Caenorhabditis elegans: one gene and its partners. The protein of the gene in region 3 purifies or fractionates together with the protein of the main gene of each other region. This does not show direct contact. Each region holds a gene or a part of one and is shown on either strand. Other genes may lie near its edges.

What was found.
Region 1: the proteins of egc-2 (region 3) and rfl-1 fractionate together in Caenorhabditis elegans (co-fractionation; one large-scale study listed by BioGRID). This does not show direct contact.
Region 2: the proteins of egc-2 (region 3) and Y104H12D.2 fractionate together in Caenorhabditis elegans (co-fractionation; one large-scale study listed by BioGRID). This does not show direct contact.
Region 4: the proteins of egc-2 (region 3) and pold-2 fractionate together in Caenorhabditis elegans (co-fractionation; one large-scale study listed by BioGRID). This does not show direct contact.

Annotation. Positions count from the first base shown.
Region 1 is NC_003281.10:7,019,804-7,024,585, reverse strand, and holds rfl-1 (NEDD8-activating enzyme E1 catalytic subunit), read right to left. Parts: upstream 2,702-4,782; 5' UTR 2,697-2,701; coding exon 2,514-2,696; intron 2,469-2,513; coding exon 2,386-2,468; intron 2,337-2,385; coding exon 2,256-2,336; intron 2,187-2,255; coding exon 2,078-2,186; intron 2,030-2,077; coding exon 1,768-2,029; intron 1,681-1,767; coding exon 1,479-1,680; intron 1,436-1,478; coding exon 1,259-1,435; intron 1,216-1,258; coding exon 1,020-1,215; 3' UTR 934-1,019; downstream 1-933. Other genes in the region: cyk-1 (WAPL domain-containing protein), read left to right, coding at 1-68, 114-535, 581-748; col-8 (Cuticle collagen 8), read left to right, coding at 3,987-4,419, 4,468-4,782. UniProt on the Caenorhabditis elegans protein: Catalytic subunit of the dimeric rfl-1 (uba-3)-ula-1 E1 enzyme.
Region 2 is NC_003282.8:1,175,608-1,183,364, reverse strand, and holds Y104H12D.2 (DUF7930 domain-containing protein), read right to left. Parts: upstream 5,344-7,757; 5' UTR 5,327-5,343; coding exon 5,178-5,326; intron 5,067-5,177; coding exon 4,925-5,066; intron 4,819-4,924; coding exon 4,579-4,818; intron 3,879-4,578; coding exon 3,778-3,878; intron 2,052-3,777; coding exon 1,829-2,051; intron 774-1,828; exon of another isoform or gene 704-773; coding exon 575-703; 3' UTR 501-574; downstream 1-500. Other genes in the region: rmif-2 (RecQ-mediated genome instability protein 2 homolog), read right to left, coding at 282-390; cec-2 (Chromo domain-containing protein), read right to left, coding at 6,690-6,929.
Region 3 is NC_003282.8:8,899,770-8,904,452, reverse strand, and holds egc-2 (CCHC-type domain-containing protein), read right to left. Parts: upstream 2,808-4,683; 5' UTR 2,793-2,807; coding exon 2,736-2,792; intron 2,690-2,735; coding exon 2,068-2,689; intron 2,021-2,067; coding exon 1,703-2,020; intron 1,657-1,702; coding exon 1,493-1,656; 3' UTR 1,276-1,492; downstream 1-1,275. Other genes in the region: Putative serine/threonine-protein phosphatase C27B7.6, read left to right, coding at 1-23, 122-353, 435-564, 672-752, 1,053-1,206; rad-54.L2 (Helicase ARIP4), read right to left, coding at 3,406-3,491, 3,538-3,687, 3,731-4,683.
Region 4 is NC_003282.8:11,557,814-11,564,113, reverse strand, and holds pold-2 (putative DNA polymerase delta small subunit), read left to right. Parts: upstream 1-2,280; 5' UTR 2,281-2,281; coding exon 2,282-2,360; intron 2,361-2,405; coding exon 2,406-2,495; intron 2,496-2,540; coding exon 2,541-2,974; intron 2,975-3,934; coding exon 3,935-4,488; intron 4,489-5,017; coding exon 5,018-5,216; 3' UTR 5,217-5,377; downstream 5,378-6,300. Other genes in the region: sec-24.1 (Protein transport protein Sec24C), read left to right, coding at 16-476, 527-1,408, 1,455-1,682. UniProt on the Caenorhabditis elegans protein: The function of the small subunit is not yet clear.

The DNA of each region.
Region 1 (4,782 bases), on a different chromosome or scaffold from region 3:
GTTACAAGAGAGACAGGCGATTAATAGAGTGCCAAGAACTCCGGCTGCGATGATTCGAGTTTCGACTGGTGAGTTGATATTTTTGAAATTGTTTTTTAATATAATTTTTTCAGCTGCCGATAAGGCTGGTGTGCTCGATGAGTTGGAGCGTGCTACAGGAAATGCTGATTTCCTTCAAACCTTGATGTCTGCCACAAATTCTCGAACTCCTCGTTCCGGATTGCCAGCTCGAACTCGCGGAGGTGGAAGACTTGGAGGAGGACTTGATCGGCAAAGATCACGACATCAGAATGCTTTGGGTCAGCTTCAAGATCTCACTGGCTGCGCATCGGAACCGGTTCTTTCCGGACAGTTTGCTCGATCACGCAACGTTCCTCAAAATGATCTGCAACGACAAAATATGGAACTTCCATCATCAGTAAAACCAACAACGGCGCTTGATAGGGCTAAAGCATTTGGAGTTGGATTGCCGATTGGTCAGAATGAGCTCAAAGTTCGAGTGAGAAGGAAAGGGCAACCAGCTGTTCCAGTTACGGTAACATATTTTATATGTGGAAACTTTTCGAAATTTAACTTTCAGAATATCAATGGAACATCGCAAATCTCACCAACGCACAAAGAAAACGATCCGACGGGTTCCTCGTCAACTTCATCTGGTCCTGCATCATCAAACACGGCTACATCATCATCATCAGGCACAGTGGTGCCATCAACAGACGATCTTCTCGCACGTCTTAATGATTTCTGAAAGCTCACATCGGTTGTCTTATCTATAGATCTAGTCATTCTCCGTCTCTATTTTTTCTGTATTATTGCCACATTTTTCATACTTTAATTGTCATTCACAGGGTCCCTCTTCTCGTTCCATTTCAATTGCTCGTTGTATTTTCATCAGTTCACTTTTCCTTTCTATTTTCTTTAGGTAAATATTTTGAGTTTAAAAACGATTTTATTTTTATTGACATGGAACACAGGCATACTTTACCCGAGACATTCAAAAGTGAAATAGAAGAAATGCATTAGATGAGCTGAATTCGTAGTGTAAGTGCACGAGACAATGCTTCGTCGGATACCAGTATTTCTTCGCCATCGCTAACAAGATCTTTCATCGAAGTATGCAGATTTTCTTTGCTTTCTTGTTCAAATTGTGGCATGAAACTGCTAATACAGTAAAGTTTTCGAGTTGAGGTCGCTAGTGTCGGATGTTTGAGATGGCTGAAATTTGAAATTTGTTTTCTAAAACAAACGGAGAACGTACAAACGCTCCGAGAGTCTGATGATAAGCGATTCAAGAGTTGAAGATGGTGAAACTTCGAATGGAAGACGCCCACCACTACAAGTGAGACAATTGTCATCTTTCATCATTGAAACAACACTGGTATATGCTCCGTGAATTTGAGTGAAATTAAGATAATTATCGATTGGTTTGGCAATGCTGAAATTGAATATTGAGAGTTTTAATATGTGATCTTACATACTTTGTGGCCAATTTCAGAGCTTCTAGGGCACATGATGCAGCGATAACTGCATTTGTTGATGCAACAGCCGGAATAATTCTTTTTAGAACTCCAGATGTCAAACGACGATCCACACCTCGAATATTGTATTTTTCTGCACGAAGACTTGCTCTTTCGAGAACCCATTCAACGTGGATCGGATCGTCAGCGTCAAGAGAAACACCTGGAAATATAACTTTTTTCCAGAAAAAACTTTAAAAATAACACTAAAATTAAAGTTCGTTTCACCGATTTTTCTGTAAATTTTTACCTTCAAATGGTTTTTCCTCTGGCCAAACAACTACTTTAATGTATTCAATACAATGTTCTGGAAGTCGAGGAGTGTGAGCAATTGTGCACAATGGAAAATTGACTTGAGGTGGATAAAGATCAAGAGTACAATCAATACAGGCTGTGAATTTCGGATATATGACACGAGCATTTCCTTTAAATCCTTCAGTTCCTCCGTCAATCATTGGAATAATTGTGTTCTCATCAGGTTTTCCGTCGGCCATTTCCAAAACCAAATCACACTGCAATTCGATAAATTAATTTATATTTTGAGCTAGAAAGAATTTTACCAGCATTCCGTTGATCCATCTTCTGGCTGGAATCGAATCAAGTCCACAGATAATTATAGAGAATTTTCGATAAAATTCTTGACCCTTGTCTTCAATTCTACAGTTGTGCCTGAAAATTGAAATAAAATTAAAATAATTCTGAATTTGTTTGGAAAGACTATCAAACCACAACACTTACGCAGTCACCTGACATCCAACAACTCTTTGTTGAACGAAAGCAGCAGCTACCTCAGCTTTTGATTTTCCAACGTCAGATTCCCTGAAAGTTTTTTTTTGACAGAACGAATTTAATAATAATTTTTTAATACCTAAATAAGAATTGACGATTTAGGTTTGATACATCAATTGTGTCCATATCGATAACTTCAATTGTTCGGAATCCGCTCAAAGCCTGAAAATGCATTATTTTTAATGTTTTTTTTGAATTCTAACTAACCAAGTTCTTTAACAACTCACAACCCAATCCACCAGCACCAATAACAAGAATCTTCGTGTTTTGCAGTGCTTCAAAGTTTTCCGGTCCGGGAACAAACCATGGAACTTTATATGCAGAGTCGCGATCTGTTAATCTTCTGATGCTCCTCCAACGCTCCGTTGCCAATGGATCCACGCTGACCATCTTTGCTTAAAAGTGTTGAATATTTAATTTTCCTTGTGGTGTAAACAAAATAGATTATACATTGTAAAGCATGTTTACAGTTCCTAATACTTATTTAGTGTCGCATTTTATTTTTTATTACAAGGAAAAAATTGGAACGTTTAAAGTATAAATTTTGTTGTTTAATTAATAATAATTCGCACTATTGTTCAAAAAATGACAATTCTTTGAATTTCATAAGAATTATTTATAAACAACATTTTAGGTTTATTCCATTAAAAATATAATCTCGCTTCAAAACGAACGATGTAAAACTATAATTTAATGAAATAATAACGAGAGGTGAAAATTAAAGAATAAAACAACAATAAAACAATTTCTAATTTTAAAACAATTCCAGCCAAATTAATGTCGATTTACGGTGAACAACGCGCGTTTCGGAATAGCGGAGTATCGTACTGTTCTGCTCACCTGTGTCTCTAAACGCAGCAGTGATGACAGACAATCTCTCGGGGATTACTGCCATTTGGCTCTCTAATCGATAGCATTCTCAATCAGGGAAGTTGAATAGCAAAAATACATCGTCTAATCAAAGGAGCGTCGACAAAGTATTAATTAATTTTTGGATTAAGTATTTAATGGGCCCGCAACGGTATCAGTAGACTCTTCACTGAAATAGGGTTACGGTAGCTCTTAAAGATTGAAGACTGCAAACTGAAGTTCCAATTACTCTCAAATTCCCTTAAAACTAATATAGAACCCTCATTTACTGAATTTCTGCAAACTTTCACTTTCTTTTCCGCCCCTGATACCTGAAAGAGGGTAACAGATAGGCGAGAGAAGTATTTCCAGAAAAAAAAACGATTGCCACACAATTTGATGTTCGATAGCAACAGACAAAGATACTGGTTACTGGAGAGTTTCAGAGAAATGCTAACTGGTTTGACGTCGTCGAAAAGTGATCGGAAAACAGGCGGAACCATTCGGAGAAGTAAACGGAAAATTGAAAATTATTGAGTGGTTCAGGACGTGACGATCTGATAAGGATGACTACTTAAACCATTGGATACACGCAAAGAAAGTTAATTTTTGGTTTTTAGTTTTATTTATTTGTTGATTTATCTAGAAATATATAATTTGTATAACTCGTCTTCATCTGTTTTATTCTATTATTTTGAGAAGTCCGCTAAAATCGGTTTGAGCGTTACGAGACCCACTGAAATTTTAAAGTGGGTCCCGCCACGGTGATTCAAGAAAATAACTTATTTTTAATTCCGCATGATTTTGAGACACATCGCATCAATTTTCAGAATGAGTAATACACTCATCTGGGCGGGGTCCGCCTCCATGCTTGTATGTGTCTTCGTGGCACTTTACACCATGATGGGTCTTCTTACTGACATCAAACAACTTCAATCTGATTTCGATGACGAGATGTTTGAATTCCGCGCCATTACTAAAGACACCTGGCAAAGGATCGTCACAAAACACACTTATCCAGGTGGCGTCGACGAAGAAACAATCGAATCTCATCCACCAACATTCGAGACTCTTTTCGGAACACGTAAGGCCCGTCAAGCTTATCCAGAACAATGTAACTGTGGACCAAAGTCTGAGGGATGCCCAGCAGGACCACCAGGGCCACCTGGAGAGGGTGGACAAAGTGGAGAGCCAGGACATGATGGAGATGATGGAAAGCCTGGTGCACCAGGAGTTATTGTTGCAATTACTCACGATATTCCAGGTATCTTTACTGTGTTATAGACTTGTTTTTAAATTGAGTAATTTCTAGGAGGATGTATTAAGTGCCCACCAGGACGTCCAGGACCACGAGGACCATCAGGACTTGTCGGACCAGCAGGACCAGCTGGAGATCAAGGAAGACACGGACCACCAGGACCAACAGGAGGACAAGGAGGACCAGGAGAGCAGGGAGACGCCGGTCGACCAGGGGCAGCTGGACGTCCAGGGCCACCAGGACCACGCGGAGAGCCAGGAACTGAGTATCGTCCAGGACAAGCCGGAAGAGCCGGACCACCAGGACCCCGTGGACCACCAGGACCAGAAGGAAATCCAGGAGGAGCTGGAGAAGATGGAAATCAAGGAC
Region 2 (7,757 bases), 7.7 Mb from region 3:
TTAGCACTATGTCATTTTTTAATGAAAAATCGAATTTGTGGTTACCGTATCCCTAAATCCGTGCAAAAACCGCATCAATGCACCGGATTTTACGACAAAATGCGGAAAAACGCGGTTCTACGTAATAATCGAATTTTTTCTGCATTTTGTCGTAAGATCCGATGCATTGGTGTGATGTTTGGGGCTACAGTAACCCAAAAATGACAATTTTTCGGCGTTTTCCGCACCAAAAATCGATAATTAAGTGGATTTTGCAGTTTTTCCGCAAAAAAAAAACCTACCCGTCTTATCTCGAATCTTGGGCGGTGTGATTGATTCCACAAATGCACAAATGATAGTTTCTCCGGTGCAGCGGCTCGCGATACTTGCACAATCGTCTCGATCGCACATTTTCTATGGATTTTCCGGTTTTTTGGGGTAAAAAATGGGTGAAAATAGGTAAAAAAAAGCCGGAATTTTAACCGATTTTGTGCGGAAAATAAGTGCAAAATTGTGAAAAAAAAACCCAATAATTAGTATTGACAAACACGTTTTCGAGAATAAAACCGAAAAAAAAACCAAAAAAAAAATCCCATTATTCCGTGCAATTTTCACGGGAAAAATAGCAATCTGGAAGTGCTGACGGTGGCAATTGATCCAATATTGATGAGTATCGATCCATATCTTCTGGATGATTTTGGAGCAGTTTTCGGAACATGATTGTCTGAATATTTCAGGTTTTTAGGCGAAAATTTAGTGATTTTGACAAAGTTTTCACGTGAAAAATTGAAAATTTGGGCATAGCTTCCGCATCTCCAGTGACAAATGTGCTCTATTGCACAAATTGTTGGTTGGAATACGGTATTTATTGCATGTTTCAGCCGAGAATACCACTATTCAAACCATCAATTCGGATAGAGAAACACACAAGTCACAGACAATATACAGGGAAATTCAGTTCAGTTGCCGAGTTGCCGTACTCAAAATTTATAGCATTCCTCGGTAACTGGGATGAAAAACGCCGAAAATGTTAGAAAAAAAAACGGATAAGCTTAGAAATTCAGATTTTCAACACAATTTTGAGAAAAATTAGCAAAATCCAAGCTAATCCTAGGTTTTCAACAAAAAATTGGAAATTAGGTAGAATTTTTCGGTTTTTACAGCTTTTTAATTTAAAAAACTTTTTTAAAGTTTAAAAAAAATTTACATTTTTGGAAAAAAAACTAGTCAAAATGTGTGAAATTTTTCAAATTTTTTGAAAAATGTCGTCAGAAAATTGATTTAAATTTAGAAAATGGACTAAAACTTTTTCTAAGCGTAGCAAAATCGGTCAAAGTATCCTAATTTGTTTAGATATTTGAAAAATTTTGAATTTTTTTTAATTCCTGAAAATTTCCAATTTTTCATTTTTTTGCAAAGGAGGCCAGAAATATCTGAAAACGGTATGGAAAATGGGTTTTCCGAATTTTTATCTAATTTTTGTTGACAAAATAATTTAATTTACATAAAAATCAACCTTTTTAATAAAATATTCACATTTCTAACAAAAGTTAGTAAAATATCAAATTTTTAGCGCATTTTTAGTAAAAATTAAGGCTCTAAAATGCCAATTAAAGTGGAAAATTATAAAAAATTCTGCATAAAACCGGTAAAATTTAACCAGAAATATCAAAATTTCAGCCAAAGTGGGAGCTTCCAAAATAAACTTTTTGGATCTAAAATTGAATGTTTTTTTTTCACTTTTTTTAACGCAAAATTCCGAATTTCCAGGCAATTTAGGGTTAAAATTTCCGATTTTCTCAGCTCATTTTTAGCGGAAAATCCCAAATTTCCACTCAAAACCCCGTACCACAAGACACGCAGGAGTCTGTGCATACGAATCCGACGTGTTCACTTTTTTCGGCATCACAAGTTCATGAGAATCGGCAATTTTTTTCCATTCAACAGCGTCATATCTTCCATTGATTAGCATAGCTTTGAACATAACGTGATTATCGATTGATATGACGTCATTTAGTGCTCGAGCCGAAGGACTATCATCTGCTCCGCCAGTGTATTTTAGAATTGGGCATCTGCAAAAAAAAAGGCGATTTTTGGTGAAAATTTTAAGTTTTTTGGCCAAAAATTTATGAAATTTGGCCCAATTTTGGCTTTTAAAAGGTGTTTTTCCTGAAAAATGAAAATTTGGGCATAGCTTCCGCATCCCCGGTGACAAATGTGCTCTATTGCACCGAATTGTTGGTTGGAATACGGTATTTATTGCATATTTCAGCCGAGAATACCACTATTCAAACCATCAATTCGGATAGAGAAACACACAAGTCACAGACAGTATTGGGAAATTCAGTTGCCAAGTTGCCGTATAATTTTGACCTACTTTGCGCAAAGTCTGAAAAGGTTGGGTCTCGCCACGAAAAAAAATTCGAATTTCCTTTAAAAATAAACAAAAAATACAAATTTTCCGATTTTCATGGGAAAAACATCGAAAAATTCAAAAATTTGCCGTTTTTTCCGTAAAAAACGGATTTTTTACCTGGAAAAAGCCACAAAAAATTCCGAAAAACAAGCGGAAAAGCTAAAAATTCTAATTTTCAGCAGGATTTTGATAAAAAATTAGAACAATCCAAGAAACCACTAGGTTTTCAACAAAAATTGGAAATTGAGCAGAATTTTTCAGTTTTTACAGCTTTAAAAAAAAACATCATAAATTCCGAGTTACCGTACCCAAATTTATAGCTTTCCTCGGAAACTGGGATTTAAAAAAACCCAAAAAACTACCAATTTTTAACAGAAAATTGTCAGAAAAAAGGGATTTTTATGGATTTTTTTTCAAATTTTATAATAAATTTTAATGTCGAAATTTCCAAATTTTCTACTTTACACCCGAAAACAGCCAAATTTCCGCGCTAAATGAAAATTTGGGCATAGCTTCTGCATCTCCAGTGACAAATGTGCTCTATTGCACAAATTGTTGGTTGGAATACGGTATTTATTGCATATTTCAGCCGAGAATACCACTATTCAAACCATCAATTCGGATAGAGAAACACACAAGTCACAGACAATATACAGGGAAATTTTCTGAAAATTTTCTGGATTTTTGACATTTTCAACCAAAAATATTCTAGAATTTCACAGAAAAATCTGGAAAATTCCAGGATTTTTCCTATATCATTTACTATATATAAAGCGCGTGTCCTTCTGTCCTTATGTAGTTTGATCTCTGATCAGAGCAACGAAATTTTGGGAAACCTTATGCTAAGTGCGCAGCAGACATCGATCGAGGTCCGCGATAGACACCGTATATCTAATGTGTTTTCTCAAAAAGTCGGGGGCCGCGCCGTAGGTGCGGTCCACGGCTGGTTTCTTATATTTTCCACATAGAAAATGTGAATTTCCCGATTTTTTTCCAATATTTTGGTGAAATTGTATGATATTCACTGAAAAAAATGTAAAAACTGATGAAATTTGATGATCAAATGCAATTTTCTCCGAAAATTTGTACAAATTTCGATTTATGGTCAACATTTTGACATTTTTCCGGAATTTTTCTGGTAAAATTTCCAGATTTTCACTGAAGAAATTTTGTAAAAAGCCAATTTTTAGTGAAAGTTTATGTTTCTGTGAAATTAGCTTTTATATTTCTAATTTCTGTCTGAAAATAAGCCCGAAACAGTCAATTTTTCTCGATTTTACAGAGTTTTTATCTAAAAATTCGATTTTTTTTTTTCGTTTTTTTTACAGAAAGTTATAAAATTAAGATTTTTAAGATTTTTTTTAGTTTTTAACATTACTAACGTAACAAGTATTCCATTCTTTTCATCTAATACATGTGCTTCCATTTCATCAACTTCCACAACGACTCCCCACGAAATTTTTACTTCTCCAGTTGCTACCGCCTGAAAAAAATTGAAATTTTTATTGATTTTCGGCATATTTTGGGGGAAAAATTTGAGCATTTTTCGTGTTTTCAGCTCGAAAATTGGGCGAAAATTGAGTTTTTTGTGAATTTTTTGCAATGTTTCGGTTTTTAGGCAAAAATTTGGGCATTTTTAATTAATTTTCCGAGTTTTTAGCCGAAAAAAAATTTTTTTTGGCCAAAAAAAACAGATTTTTGTATAATTAGTGCAATTTGGATAGTTTTTCCGTGTTTTGAACAGAAAATTGGACAAAAAGTCTTTTTTTTTTTTTGGATATTTTTTCGCAATTTTTAGGTTCTTATACAAAAATTTGGGTATTTTAGAGTATTTTCCAGGTTTTAGCGGAAATTTGGGCAAAAAATTGAACTTTTTGGAGAACTTTTAGGTTTTTATACAAAAATTTGGATATTTTAGATCATTTTTAAGTTGTTAGCTGAAATTTGGGCAAAAATACCAAAATGGCTCAACTTTGTCATAAAAATTCGTTTTTTCGGGAGAAAAGTTATATTTTTAGTCGAAATTTGCCATTTTTTAAATTTTTTAGCTCTAAATTCACATTTTTTTACTTGAACATTGGACATTCGGCGGCTCAAAACTCCAATTTTCTGCTCTAAATTCACTTTTTCAGCAGTTTTCCGAGCTCTAGATCAAAATTTATCGATTTTTCTCGATTTTCCACCTCTTTCTCCTCATTTTCCTCGACAACAAAGTGTTTTACAGCCTCAACAGCGACCCATTTACACCCTTTTCGTTCGATTTGCTCCTTGATTTTTAGCACCAGTTGATTGCTGGTATTCACGTATCGGCCCACATTTTTCACGATTTTCGCGTCAAAAGCGTCTCCCGGCACGAAAATTGTGCCTTTTTCGTCGTTTTGAGCAAACGCGTAGCTATCCGTGGTGCTGGTCACCTGGGCGATCTGGAAATACGGGATTTTCGAGATTTTTTAGCTTTAAAACTATGGAAAATTCAATTTTCTGACTATTTTTTCACTTAAAACCAAGTTTTTAACCCTAAAAACCCACCAATGGCCCGAAAACTTCATTGGAAATTCTGGCGGCCGCCAACATTGAGCCTTCGAGCTTTTTCACGAGTTTTGCCTGATAATTGCAGTTATTTTTGCGTCCTATCTGTTTAATAACCACCATTTGCACAGTTTCGTTGTATCTGAAACACTTTATCGATTTTTTCCGGGAAAAGTTCGAAAAAACTTGAATTTTCACCCAAAACTTTGATTTTTAATTGATTTATGTAACTTTTCCAGCAAAAAAAACTCACGAAAACTTGTCGAGCAAGCTTAAAAGCGTCTCGTTCTTGGTTCTGGCCGCTGCAATCGGTATAAATACGTTTCCAAGACTGGTGGTGGCGAATGCGTAGGTTTCCTCAAGTTTTGAGATGATTCCAGACAATTCCGTTGGTTCTGGCATAGTTTTTTGCTTGAAATCTCTAAATTTTCAGTTATTCTAACAAAAAATCACGAAAAAACCGTTGAAATCAAAGATTTTGGCTCAAAAATAAACAATTTTATTCAAAAAACAAAACGCGATAAACAACACGCGCTGGCGGGATATCGGAGTGTCGTTAATTCAAATGCGCGGGAGTTCAAACCGAAAAATTGCAATATATCGCAGAAAGTGCGGCAAAACCCCGATTTAAATCAATTTAATTCGCAATTTCAAAAGATTTTAGTAATGAAACATTAATAAATTTATTCCAGTGTTCAGAAGTTGCATATGTGTGAAGTAGGTCAATGATATATGGGGGAAAATCACGAGAAAAAAAAATCGATAAAAGTTCACAAAAATGGTGTAGAAAGTGAGAAAAAGCACATTAGTCAGGGTAAATTAAAAGAATTGCGCCATGTTGGGCAGAAAATGAGATTCTATTAACAATATGCGACAATTTTCGGCGAAAAAACACAATAAAAACAGAAGAAAAACGACAATTTTTAGGTAAAAGTCGATAATTTCAGGGTTTTTTTGGAAAAATCAATAATATTAGCGGTTACTATTAGAATTCTAGGATACTAGGCAATTCTACAAGCAATTTAATTAAGAAAATAGGGGAAAATACAAAAAAAACAGGAATTATCGATTTTCCGGCGGAAAAATCGATAATTTTGTGGATTTTGTTGGCGGAAATGGTGGTGGAATTGTGAGAGGAAGTGATTTTTAATGATAATTAAAAAGAAAACAAGAGATCGGTTGAAAAATTATCGATTTTCAAGCAAAAAATCGATAGTTTGGGCGGAATTGGTCATGGAATTGTAATCGGAAGTGATTTTTAGCAATAATTCAAAAAAAAAACAACGAGATCGGGAAAAAGTGATGAAAAAATAGCGAAAAATCGATAAATTTCGTAAAAAATCGATTTTTCTGTAATTTAGAATTGGTCATGGAATTGTAATCGGAATTGATTTTTTTGACATGAAATCGGGATAAAAACAACGAGATCGGGAAAAAGTGATGAAAAATTTGCGAAAAATCGATAAATTTCTAGCGGAAAATCGATTTTCAGTGGGTTTTAAAGAAAACTATCATGAATTCATGATAGCAATAGGGGGGGGGGGGGTTTCAGTGAGAAATTAGGATAAATTGATTTTTAAATATTAGCGAAAAATCGATAAAAATCGATTTTCTATCAAAAAAAAATCAATAATAATTAATTCCCTAGCGGAAAAATCGATTTTTCAGTGGGTTTTTAAAGAAAATTATTATGAATCAGTGGGAAATCGAGTGAAAACGACGGCAAATTATAGAAAATACGAATTCAACAGAAAAAAATCGATAATTATTGATTTTCCAGGGGAAAAAAACAATTTTTCCAGTCGGAATTCAAATTAAAAACCGGCAAAATTGCGACAAAACGTGACGAATGTTCAGTAATCTTGATTTTCAGTTCGTTGACGTCGAGCACTGTGCCGAGCGGCCGAAAAATCGATAATCCATGCGAATTTTCAAGTTTTTCGCACATTTTTCCGTTCATCCAAAGGGTGAAGCATGGGACATCGATGTGGGCGTTGAAGCGGTTCTGGAAATTAAAAAATTAAAAAATTTTGAGATTTTTCAGGGCGAAAATCGCATTTTTCAATGAAAATTGGATGAAAATCTTGCGCAAATACACTGAAACTGACAGCAATTTGCAAAAAATTCGAATTTTCGGTGAAATTTACCTTTAAAAAAAAATGAAATTTTCTATATTTTTTGTCGTAACTCCGCAGTTTTTCGTAGGATTTAGTGTGGACTAGGTTACTGTAGCACCAAAAGTTTGCAGTGCACCAGATCTTACGACAAACTGCAGAAAATTTAAATTTTTATTGAAAATCTCCTAAAACATGCAATTTGATCTCAATTTCCACCTAAAATTCAAGTAAAAGGTGTTTGCACAAATTTGACGCTACAGTAATCCAAAAAACACCAGATTTGACGACAATTTGCAGAAAAATCTGAATATTCGGTCAAATTATCAACAAAAAAAAAAGAAGCAATTTTCTAGATTTTTTCACGTTTTTGAACTCAATTTTTACTGAAAATTCAAGTTTTGTGCAATTTGTCGTAAAATACAGTGTTTTGCACACATCTGACGCTACAGTAATCCAAGAAACACCAGATTTGACGACAATTCGCAGAAAATTCGAATTTTCGGTGAAATTTACCTTTAAAAAAAAAGCCATTTTCTTTACTTTTTCACGTTTTTGAACTCAATTCTTACCGAAAATTCAAGAAATTTTTACATTTCTGCAATTTGTCGTAAGATTCTGTGTACTGCACATATATACGGCTACAGTAATCTAAGAAACACCGGATTCGACGACAACTTGCAGAAATTTCGACTTTTTTCTGCAATTTGTCGTCAGAT
Region 3 (4,683 bases):
TCAGAGCTCATGAAATGAAAGAGGTTTATGTTTTTCATCTATACCTTTCATCTATGGTAGTATAATCATTTGAAAATTGCGAATCGTTCAATTTCGCATGTTAAATATTTTTTGTTTCCAGAAAGGACATACTTTTGAGTTTGACAACCGTCTTCTGACAGTCTTCTCAGCGCCTTATTATTCTGGACACAATTCCAATTTGGGATCAGTTGCTACAATCAGTAAAAGTTTGAAATTGCGAATCGTGACTCTGAAACCTAATAAGGGATATGATCGCTCTAAATTGGACAAGAGAACTCTTCACGATTTCGAAAAAAACTTTCAGCCACTTGATGAGAATCCTAGAAAAAACAGTGAGTTCTCCTATTATTTATTGCAAAAATCTATAAAAACAACATACTTATCCGATTGTTTTAATATTCAATTTTTTACAGTAAGTTGCCAATTCAATGTTCCACCAAACGGGCAGAAAATGTCACCATTTCTTGGAGAATACTCGATGTTTGCCCATGAAACACAGTTTTGTAAGAAAGACAATGAGACACCTGTGAAGAAGCCTTATAGGTGAGATTAAAGCTTCAGTACCTCTGGAAAATGTGACCGTCTAATTATTCGGAAACATGACTTCACAATCATGTTATAGGAGCATTTTCAATATGTGTAATTTCCAGCTCAAACCAAGATGAAGATCATTCTGTATTGGACATGATTCGCAAGACACAGAAAGGATATGGAGTAGAAGTTAGTTTGAAGTAAGTATCATTTACTATATATAAAGCGCTTATTCTGTGTGTCCATAGTTTGTAGTCTATGTAGCCTTTGTAGTCTGTGAAGTTTTGGCTTCTGGAGGGATAGTGAGTTAGGGTTAGTGTAGGGATATAGTTGGGGTACTGTAGTGGTACAATAGTGGTACGGTAGGAATACTGTAGGGTTACGGTAGTTTCATAAAAAATTAATTTTCAGCCCCAGAAGTCGGGGGCCGCGCCGAAGGTGCGGTCCACGGCTGGTTTTTTATATGCGAAGAAGTTTTTTCATGTTTACAATATTTCCAGAGATAAAGTCATGTCTCTTGAATCAATCCGCAAAAAATTGGGAATGACTACTAGTACGACGCCGCCTCCGCCAAGAACTCCATCTCCGGACGCTCCACTCGCCCAATCTCCGCCAATTCCACGATCGCCTCCGAGTTCTACTGAAAATGCGTAGATTTCCTTTGAATGAAGTATACTGTAGAAAATGTTCAAGTTTGAGTGTGTATAATTATGAAACGAGAGTAACATGAAACACTTTTATGAAATGAGGTTGAAGACTCAAATCAAAAATACAAGTTTTCAAATTTAGGACAGAAACAATTCCAGAACGTAAAAAACAATACCTAGAAGTCAATAAATGGAACAACAATGAAAAACAGTAAAAATACGCTGCAAATTGGGCAGAGTTCCCAATAGTAATTATTAAACATTTTCCTTGATAGCATCATAATTATCAGAAATTATGAATTTTGTGAAGCGACCGGCACGAACTGGGCAGCGATGACACGGACGTTGGGCGGAAGAACTCGTGGGAAATTGATGATAGTCGTCTCCTCGAAGTGGAATTCTCCATCGCGCATCACAGTTCTGCGTGTCTCGATTGACAAAGTCTCCGTAGAAATTTCTGTAATAATGAACATTATACAATTATAGAATTTTGATAATCTCACGTTTGGCTCCTTCTCTGCTCTGTAGAGTGTTGATTGGAGCAACTGGTGGCACTTCTTTCATCAATTTTTCAGCTGGCCCTTTTCCAGTGATAGTCATCACGTATGGCGACGGAGCTACCGGCTCGACATTGCTGAGCTTCAAAGCATTGTCCAACTGCTCTGAGAATTTGTCAATTTCGGGCGACATCATTGGTGCTGTGAAACCACTTCTCACGCTGCCAACACTTCTTGGGGTGAGACTGTTGATGCTGTAGCCGTACCCTCCATAATAAGACTCACGGGCCTTTTGATTGTCCAACTTGCTTTGATACAGTCCACCTGAAAACATAAAAATTGTTACGTTTTCCTAGTATTCAAACAATAACCTCCATGCAAAGCCTTCATATTAGAAGAGTATCTTGATGCGTCTTCTTGGAGTAAATCTTTCGTCTCAAATGGTTCCACTTCGATATCTTTTCCATCTCCGTGTTCATCCGTTTCTCCAACCTTCTTCGGGCACATTCTCGAAATGTGTCCATGCTCTTGACAATGGAAGCAGTGGCCTGGCCCACCTCGCCCACGTCTACCGGTTCGGCGGCCAGAGCGTGGTCTCTTCGATGAAGATCCCATACCATCGGATCGGGGCGAACTTCGGAAAGATCCACGCCGTGGACTACCCATTATATTCTCAGATGGCAGAGGTGTCACGCAACGTTCATTATTCATGTAAAGAGCATCCGAAACAGCAACACGAGATGATCTGCTTTCTCGATAACTGCTGTACCCTCCTCGTACGGAACCAAATCCAGAACTGTCGTTTAGGTGAGAGGAGTTTCTGGGGATTCTACCGCCAAGTCCACTAACGGATCCAAAATCAGAGAAGCCTTCACCTCCTCCAAATCCTCCTCGATACTTTCTCGGTTGATCAGTTAGCGCTCCGAATGCTCCACTATTTTGAGTTTTTGGCCATGGAGAGTATTGAGCTCTCTCAAGATAATGTTGTCTGTCCTGAAATGAATAGTTTACAAATTGTCATTAATTTGATAAAAAATACCGTTCTCGCCGACATTCCGTTTTCCATTGACTTCATTTCACTCGACAATTCCGACATATCCGACCGAAATGTCTAAAAAAATTATTTTGAGAAACTGGCAGAACGCTGAATATTTAAAAATTAATCTAAAAACCATTAATTCATCAGAAATGGGTGAGAGAAATGAAGAAAATTGAAGAAACGTGCCGAACGAGTTCAGAATTTCGTGTCGGGACCAAAACCTACAGTAACCAAGTCAGTATTTAAAAACGCGTTATTAAGAGGCACTACAAAACGGGGATCTGCGGAAAAATGTTATTCCAATTTCTCTTTCAAGCGAATCCGATAATTTAAATATTATTCGTATTTATTCATTAAATTAAAAGAGAAGGCGTATAAAACACAATTGGCAGCTTGCCGAACAGCGGAGCTGATTACTGTGTTGGAAAAAACAGAAAAATTTAATTAATTGACATACTAATGATAAAAGGGAAGAGTGTGGACAAAGTTGAAATGTGGAAATTCGAAACTTGCCTAAAATTAATTTAGGAGCCTCTATAAGAGGAAAAATAATTGAGTAAAATGATAGTGAATTATCAGAGATCTCATTGGATGTTGCATTGAGATAGATGTTGTATTTTATATGATAAAAAACGAAATGTACATCAAAAGAAAAAAATGCAAGACGTTGTTAATCAAGATCGATGACTTCTTGAACCTGCTGCGGATCATGGTTGAAATTTTTGCTTAGATACATATCACGAAGCTGACGGGCATCTATAAATTTTAAAAAATTATACGAAATTTTTTCTAGTAAACTAACGATTCTCAAAAACACTTCCGACAGCGTCAAGAATTGTTCCATCACGTAGTTTCACATAATATCCATTTTTCGGAACAACTAACTGTATTGGTGTATTTGCCTGAACCTGATGAAGCTGATCTCTATGTCCGACAATGGGAAAAACGAGTTCTAAAAATTTGAATTTTCAAAAAAACTTAAACGTCAAACTCACGTCTATCAGTAATCAATTGTTGAACTGCTCCAGCCGGGGAAAATGATGGTATTTTGCTCATAACAGCTCCCGGAAAAGCTGATGGATCTCTTGGAGGAAGCATTTGTTGAGGGTTTCCTATAGCTCCTCCATTGTTATTATTCGGATAGCCATTGTTGAATGACGTCATCGTATGACCACCTCCTTGGTGATGGAATTGACTGACATTCATTCGAAGCGTGTGAGGCATTGGTGATGGACGAATTGATGGAATTTGAGGTGATGGTCCATGAGGTGGAAATTGTGACATGTTTGGCATCGGTTGTGGAAATTGCTGTGGTGGATAAGATCCAAAATTGGGTGCAAGCTGATTAGGAGATTGTTGCCAATGATTATTGAAACTATTTTGCATGTTATTATTGAACATCGGAACTGGTGGTGGACCCATCATTCCCATTGAGCTTCCAGGAGCATTGTTATAAAAGTTAGAACTGCTCAGGCCACTCAATGGATCATAGTTCTCCATACGTCGTTCTCTATCAAAAAGTAATTGAGCTTCTCGTTTTTCCTGCTCGCTGAGTGATTGCTCTGACTCCATTATCAAGGTTTCATGAAGGAACGGTTTCCCGGCAAACATTTGACTCATTCTCTTAGTGATTGAGTCTAGAACCGGATCTCCGAAATCCCAATCATCTGTATTCCATTTGTCATGATTAACATCTTGTGCCTCATCATACATTAGAAGAGTCTCCAATTCTTTTTGCGAAATATTTGCATCAACTTGTGCATCGTCAACTACTCTTTGTTGTAGTCCATGTTTTGAAATTTGTCGATTGAAAATCGATCGCTCCATTGAGTTATCCATAATAAGACGATAAACAAATGTTTTCTTCTGTTGACCATATCGATAGACACGACATACAGCTTGAGCATCGTGACAAGGATTCCAACAAGCGTCAATGATAATGCATCTG
Region 4 (6,300 bases), 2.7 Mb from region 3:
ATGTACTGTTTTTAGCTGATGTTCAAGAGCCATTTGTTCCTATGGTCGATGGACTTCTTCTCCCTTACAACGAGGCACTTCCTGGACTTCGTGCCGCATTGGCTGAAATTCCTAAACTCTTTTCGCAGTCGAAAACCACCGAAACCATTCTTCAACCCGTCGTACAAGCCGGTCTTGACGCTTTGAAGTGTGCCGACAGAGCAGGAAAAGTGATTCTGTTTTCAACTGTTCTACCAACATATGATGCACCGGGAAAGCTGAAATCCAAAAATGATCGATCTCTTCTCGGGACAGATAAAGAAAAGAATGCACTGGTTCCACAAGAAGATTCATACACGAAGTTGGGAGAGCAATGTGTCAAGTCAGGAGTTACTGTCGATTTATTCCTCTTCCCAAATGCTTTCATTGATGTTGCCACAATTGGTCAGCTTTCTGCAGTTACGGGAGGATCTATTTTCAAATTTCAGTATTTCTCGGTAAATTTAAAGAAAAACCAATAATTTTATTAATTTTATTTTTATTTCAGGCCGATAAAGACGGTGTTCGCATGTTGAATGAGTTGGAACGACACGTTTCTAAGAAAATTGCATTCGACTGCATGGCAAGAGTAAGAACGTCTACAGGAATTCGTCCTATCACTTTTACTGGCTCCTTTTACATGGAAAACTCAACGGATTTGGAATTGGCTACATTGGATGAAAGCAAAGCATTCATCACAGAAATCAAACATGATGATAGTCTGAAAGATCCAGCTTCCTTCATTCAAACCGCTGTACTGTATACGTCGATGACTGGACAGCGCCGTTTGCGAATTTTGAACTTATGCCTTCCAGTTACTGCTGATTACAACCAAGTTTACCGACTTGCTGATCCGGAAGCATTGACAGCATTCATGTTGAAGCAAGCTGTTCAATTGAATCGTGACAAGGGAAGCTCAGAAATGAGAGAATCACTTTCTTCTCGTTGTGCACAATTCCTAGCGACCTATCGAGAGAAGTGTAGTGAAGGTGCCCCACTTGGACAACTGATTCTTCCTGAATCTCTGAAATTGATGCCGCTCTATGTGAACTCTATTTTGAAAAATGATGCGATCAGTGGAGGAAGTGAAATGACAGTCGACGACAAAGTGTGGCAGATGGAATTGATCCGTGGGCTACGAACTGAAAATGTCATGCCTCTTATTTATCCAAGAGTTATGCCAATCTCTGATCTACAAATCAATGATACTGAAGAAATGAAGGATCTTCCAAAACCTGTTAGAGCGAGTTCTGAGTTCCTGGAAAATTCGAAAGCCTATATTATTGATAACGGTGTTATTCTGTTTGTCTGGGTTGGCTCTGCATGCCCCCAGACATGGGTTCAAGACGTGTTTGGTGTTGGTGCTACAAATCAAATTGATACCGAGAGTGTAAGTTATCAATTGCTACGTTCAATTAGTCAATTACATTTTTCAGGGAACAATTCCGGAAAAAGACAATGGTCATTCACGTGCTCTTCGTCGTGCAATTCAACTTTTGCCACGTGGGATCCGAGAGCGAAAAACGTTCGTTGTCGTGGAAAAAAGCGGCCTTGAGCCATGGATGAAGAAATTTTTAGTGGAAGACAAGGCTGGTCCTGCTAATATGTCATACGTTGATTACCTTGTGGATATCCATCGCAAAATCCGCGATCTCATTTCCTAAGTCGTTGATACTGTGATAGAATTGCTTCTCTTGATTGTTCCCTTTGTTCTTCCTTCATATTATTTTGATCACGCCAAAGCAAATCTTGTGATTAGAAATGTTGGAAGAATTAATATTTTGTACCGGTTTCTTTGTACACATTCATTTCCTTCCCTCTCGCCGTACTATTTTCTTTTAATATTATGGAGCATGGTTTGTAAAAATTAAGATATTAGCTTTCCTAGCACCTTATCAGTGCAAAAATAGAATTTGTTTTATCTGCTTTTTCCCAGATTCCTAATTTATTCTTTTCCAGTTGCTCTCGCGACTTTTAGAGATTTCTATTTATTGTTCCTTTTTTTGTAAAATATCCCCTATTACCCCGTCCATATAATTTATTGTGATTTGAAATGGGATCGAATGTGTTTAATTTGATGGTGTCTTATGAAAATAAAATGTTTTTGATTAAACATTTGAGAATCGAATATGTTGACTTTGTGAATATTATATTTTTGAAATTCACTTCGGTGTAATGTTAACGCGCTCTAACGCAATTTGCCGCGAAATTTCAACATTGACAAATTTGCCTTCTTGAATTGATTTTTTTCTTTATTTTAAGAATGGAAACCGCTTGGTCCAACATCCTAAACTATAAGAATGTCTCAGATCGATACATTCTCACTGAAAAAGATAAAAAAGGTATTTATATTTTGCTCTAAGCTTTAAAAAGTTATTTTCTTTCAGGTGCGTTCACTAGACAGTACTTTGAAGTCTACGAAGCTCGCTTGAAGGAACTGAAACCTCGTATTTTGGAAAATGCAGAACGTGAAATTGGTTAGAATTATAATATTACTAATAAACCTTAATTTTTATCTTCAGGCAAGGGAAAATTCACGCATTCACAATTGAGCGATGCTAAACAAGACGAGGAAATCTTCGTGGTCGGCGTTATTGTAAAGAGAATAGCTGCAAGACCATCAATTTTGAAATCGTTGCTCAACGAGGATAAAGTGGCTTATGATGATTATGAAGAAGATGCCGAAGAAGACGAAGTGAAAAGATACGCTGGAAGCATTGAAGATCGAATCGAATTGGAATCAGATAAACAGACAGTACGTCTGGAAGGAAATATTTCAATGGATGAGTGTGCAACTGGTTGTTGTGTTGGAGTTCTTGGAAAATTAGGAAAAGAAGGAGTATTTCATGTGAATCGTTTGGTTTGGCCATCTGTAAAAGTTCCAAAGAAAGTGGCTGTCGACGGGACTATCGCTTTCGTCAGTGGACTCGATCTAACTGGAGATTTGGAAGACGATGTGAGTATTAATTCTGTAACTTGAATACTATTCCAACTTTAAAATTGTGCTCCAAAACTACGGTACACGATCTCGAAGCGACCGATTTTTGTTAATACAAAAGAGTGCGCCTTTAAAGAGTACTGTAGTTCCCAACTCCTCGTTGTTGCAGATTTTTCATTAATTCGTCAAAATTTGAAAAACATTTTCACATGTTTTTCAATAAATTTCAAAGAAACGGATGAAAAATCGAAGAAAATCTACAGAAGTTCGGAACTACAGTAATCTTTAAAGGCGCATAATCTTTTGTTTTCTGTTTTTTTGTCTAATTTAAATCGAAAAACAACCAAATTACACCTTTTCTCGGATATTTTAATCTAAGTATTTCCACTTAATCCCGGACTTCTGAATGAAATCTATGCCATTTGAAAGAGCATCTTTTAAATAGGCCCCTACAAAAATTTAGCAGCAGAGGACCACTTTGATCTGGAAAAAAGTCTCCCTGAAAAATGTTCAGTGCATTTTTCCACAACTTTCGAGGTCTGTGAATGGCTCCAAATGTGAATTTTTGTAGATTTTTGATGATTTCTAAGATTTTCAGGGGCAGGCAAACATTCAAAATTTGTTTTGGAATTTTTTCGATTTTTTGAATCCATGTCCATTGCGAAATTTCAGATTTTTTTCAAAAATTTTTAAACATTCCCAAAAACAAAATCTGAATGTTTACCGGCCGTGAACATCTTAGAAATCATCAAAAATCTACAAAAATTCACATTTGTAGCCATTTTACGGACCTCGAAAGTTGTGAAAAAAAATGCATTGAAAAATTTTCAGAGCGACCTTTTCCAGTTCAAAGTGCTCATCCGCCGCTAAATTTTTTATAGGGGTCTTCTTAGAAGATGCTCTTTCAAATGGAATAAGTTCCATTCAGAAGATTCATATTTCCATGGTTTTCTCGAAACTACAAAATCATGATTTCAGCGACTCACAATCTCTGGTCTTGAATTTATGGCTGATTGGATGAATGTTCAAGTTGGAAATGAGAATCAATGTCCACCGATTGATCGTCTTGTAGTTATTGGTCCACTGGTTGAAACAAAATCAAATGGTTGTGATGTTCAGTCAGTCGTTCGAACACTTACTCTTTCACGTGCAGAGAAACATTCTTCAACAGCATCACTAATTACTGTAGACAAAATTATTAATTCAATTGCTGAAAAACCTCTTGTTAACACTGTCGACGTGACTCCTGGTGTTGGTGATCCATGCTCATCGATGTGGCCACTGCCACCTATTCACAGAGTTTGTCTTCCACGTTGTGGAATGAGTGATAAAAAAGTGAATCTTGTGACAAATCCATATGAATTTGAAGTCAATGGACTACGTGTGATGACAATGTCTGGCGAAAACGTGAGCGAGCTTCTTCGTACTTCCCTGAAATGGACGGGAGCTGATGCTATTGAGAATATCATTAAATGGCAACATGTGGCACCAAATTGTCCAGATACTCTTGATGCATTCCCAGTGGCTGAAAGGTTTGTTTGGTGCATTTTTTGGAGCACAGAATAATTTCGAAAAATATTTCGAACCAAAAAAACTAAAAAATATGTTGATATTGGATTTATTTCGAAATATAATTTTTTTGGAGCCTAAGACCTAAATACTTTTTGAAAAATTAATCAAAAACCACTAAAAATAAGGTTTGCTGTAAGTATATAAATTTTTTTCGGGTATTTTGGTGTCAAAAAAGAAGCCAAATAAAATCAATTTTTCCTTTAAATAACATTAAAAAACCAGAAAAATGTCCAACTCTAGTCAAGGGTGACATTTTTTCGATTTTTCGATGTTTTTCAGTGAAAATCAAAAATCGATAAAAGAAATTTTTCGACTTTCCAAAAATCGAAAAATTTTTGTTTTTCGATTTTCTAAAAAAAAAATCGAAAAACGAACACCCTAAGGTCCCTAGTTTTAAGTTTTAAAAAATTGATTTAGTACAGTACTTTTCTATTGATAGAGAACATTTATTACCTATACAGAGAATGTTTCAAAACAATTATTTTTCAGAGATCCTCTGATCATGGACATCACACCGCATGTGATCATTTGTGGAAATCAACCTCACGCCGAGTTCCGTCATATTCCAATTGATGGATCAAATTGCCTTGTTGTTTGCCTGCCCAAATTCTCCAAAACTCGTGTCGCCTGCTTTCTCAACTTATCTGATCTTTCCCTGAAGTGGCAAAACTTTGATCATCAGTTCTAATTATTTTATGCGTGTTCACATTCAAAATTCACATTTTGTTGAATTATCCAGTTATTACTCCATTTTTTGTACTGTTTTACGTTAAATATTTTACCAAATACGATTTATTGTATCTTTAAACGTTAATTTCCAATAAAAAACGAGGATAGGCTCATTAAAGTACGAAAAATCGCCTAAAATTGCCGAAAATCAGGAAATTAATTATTTGATTGTCTGAGAGGAGTACACACGAGGTGGCGCTCATTTGCGCGCGAAATTCAAATTAGATGGACGGCGAGATTTTTTTCGGCACTTTGAAGGCTCATAACTTCATTTAGCGAAATTTTTGTGATGTTTCGCTTTCACATATCGACTTGTACGAGCATAGAGAATGTTTTTAAGCACAGTCTCAAATTCGACTACACCACCTTTAACGAGATTTAAAAACCTTATTACCACAAAAAGTCTAATGACCGAAAATTACATTTCCAGGTGTCAACCGCCCTCCCATGAGAGACAATAGATGAGAGCCAATAAAGTAATTTTGAGCGTTCACACCTGTCGATAGTGTGTAATGACTCTCCGTTGTTCTCATTAGGCGTTGCAGAACCCTATAGTCAGTTATACAGTCAGTCTGCCAAATTTCTATCCAGAAAAATGGTGAGCTCTTTGTTGGAGTTGACTGCCTATAAAGTTGCTGACTATATTGAACGTGGTATGTTTTATTTTATTTTAATTCTTCAATAAACTATACAAATTTCAGGAAAGTACAATAAAATGAATTATATTCTTGATGCAAAATCGAGTAATGTCATTTACTGCCATCTCAGAAAAATGCGGAGCTCCAGTTATATTTTATCAAAGGATCGAACAAGAAACGAGACGAGTTGGACACATAGAGCAACAGAACAAATACGTCTGAAATTTCAAATATCCAAAATTGATTTCACTTATACTTTGTTAGATTTCAAGACATTTCGAATGCTCAGAGAGCAACATCTTGATACCCTTATTTTAGGGCATTTGATTAATGTCCGTGAATGGTTTTTAGATGATGAAAGTAAGTTTTTTGAAAGTTTATTATATCAACAGATGAGTAATAATG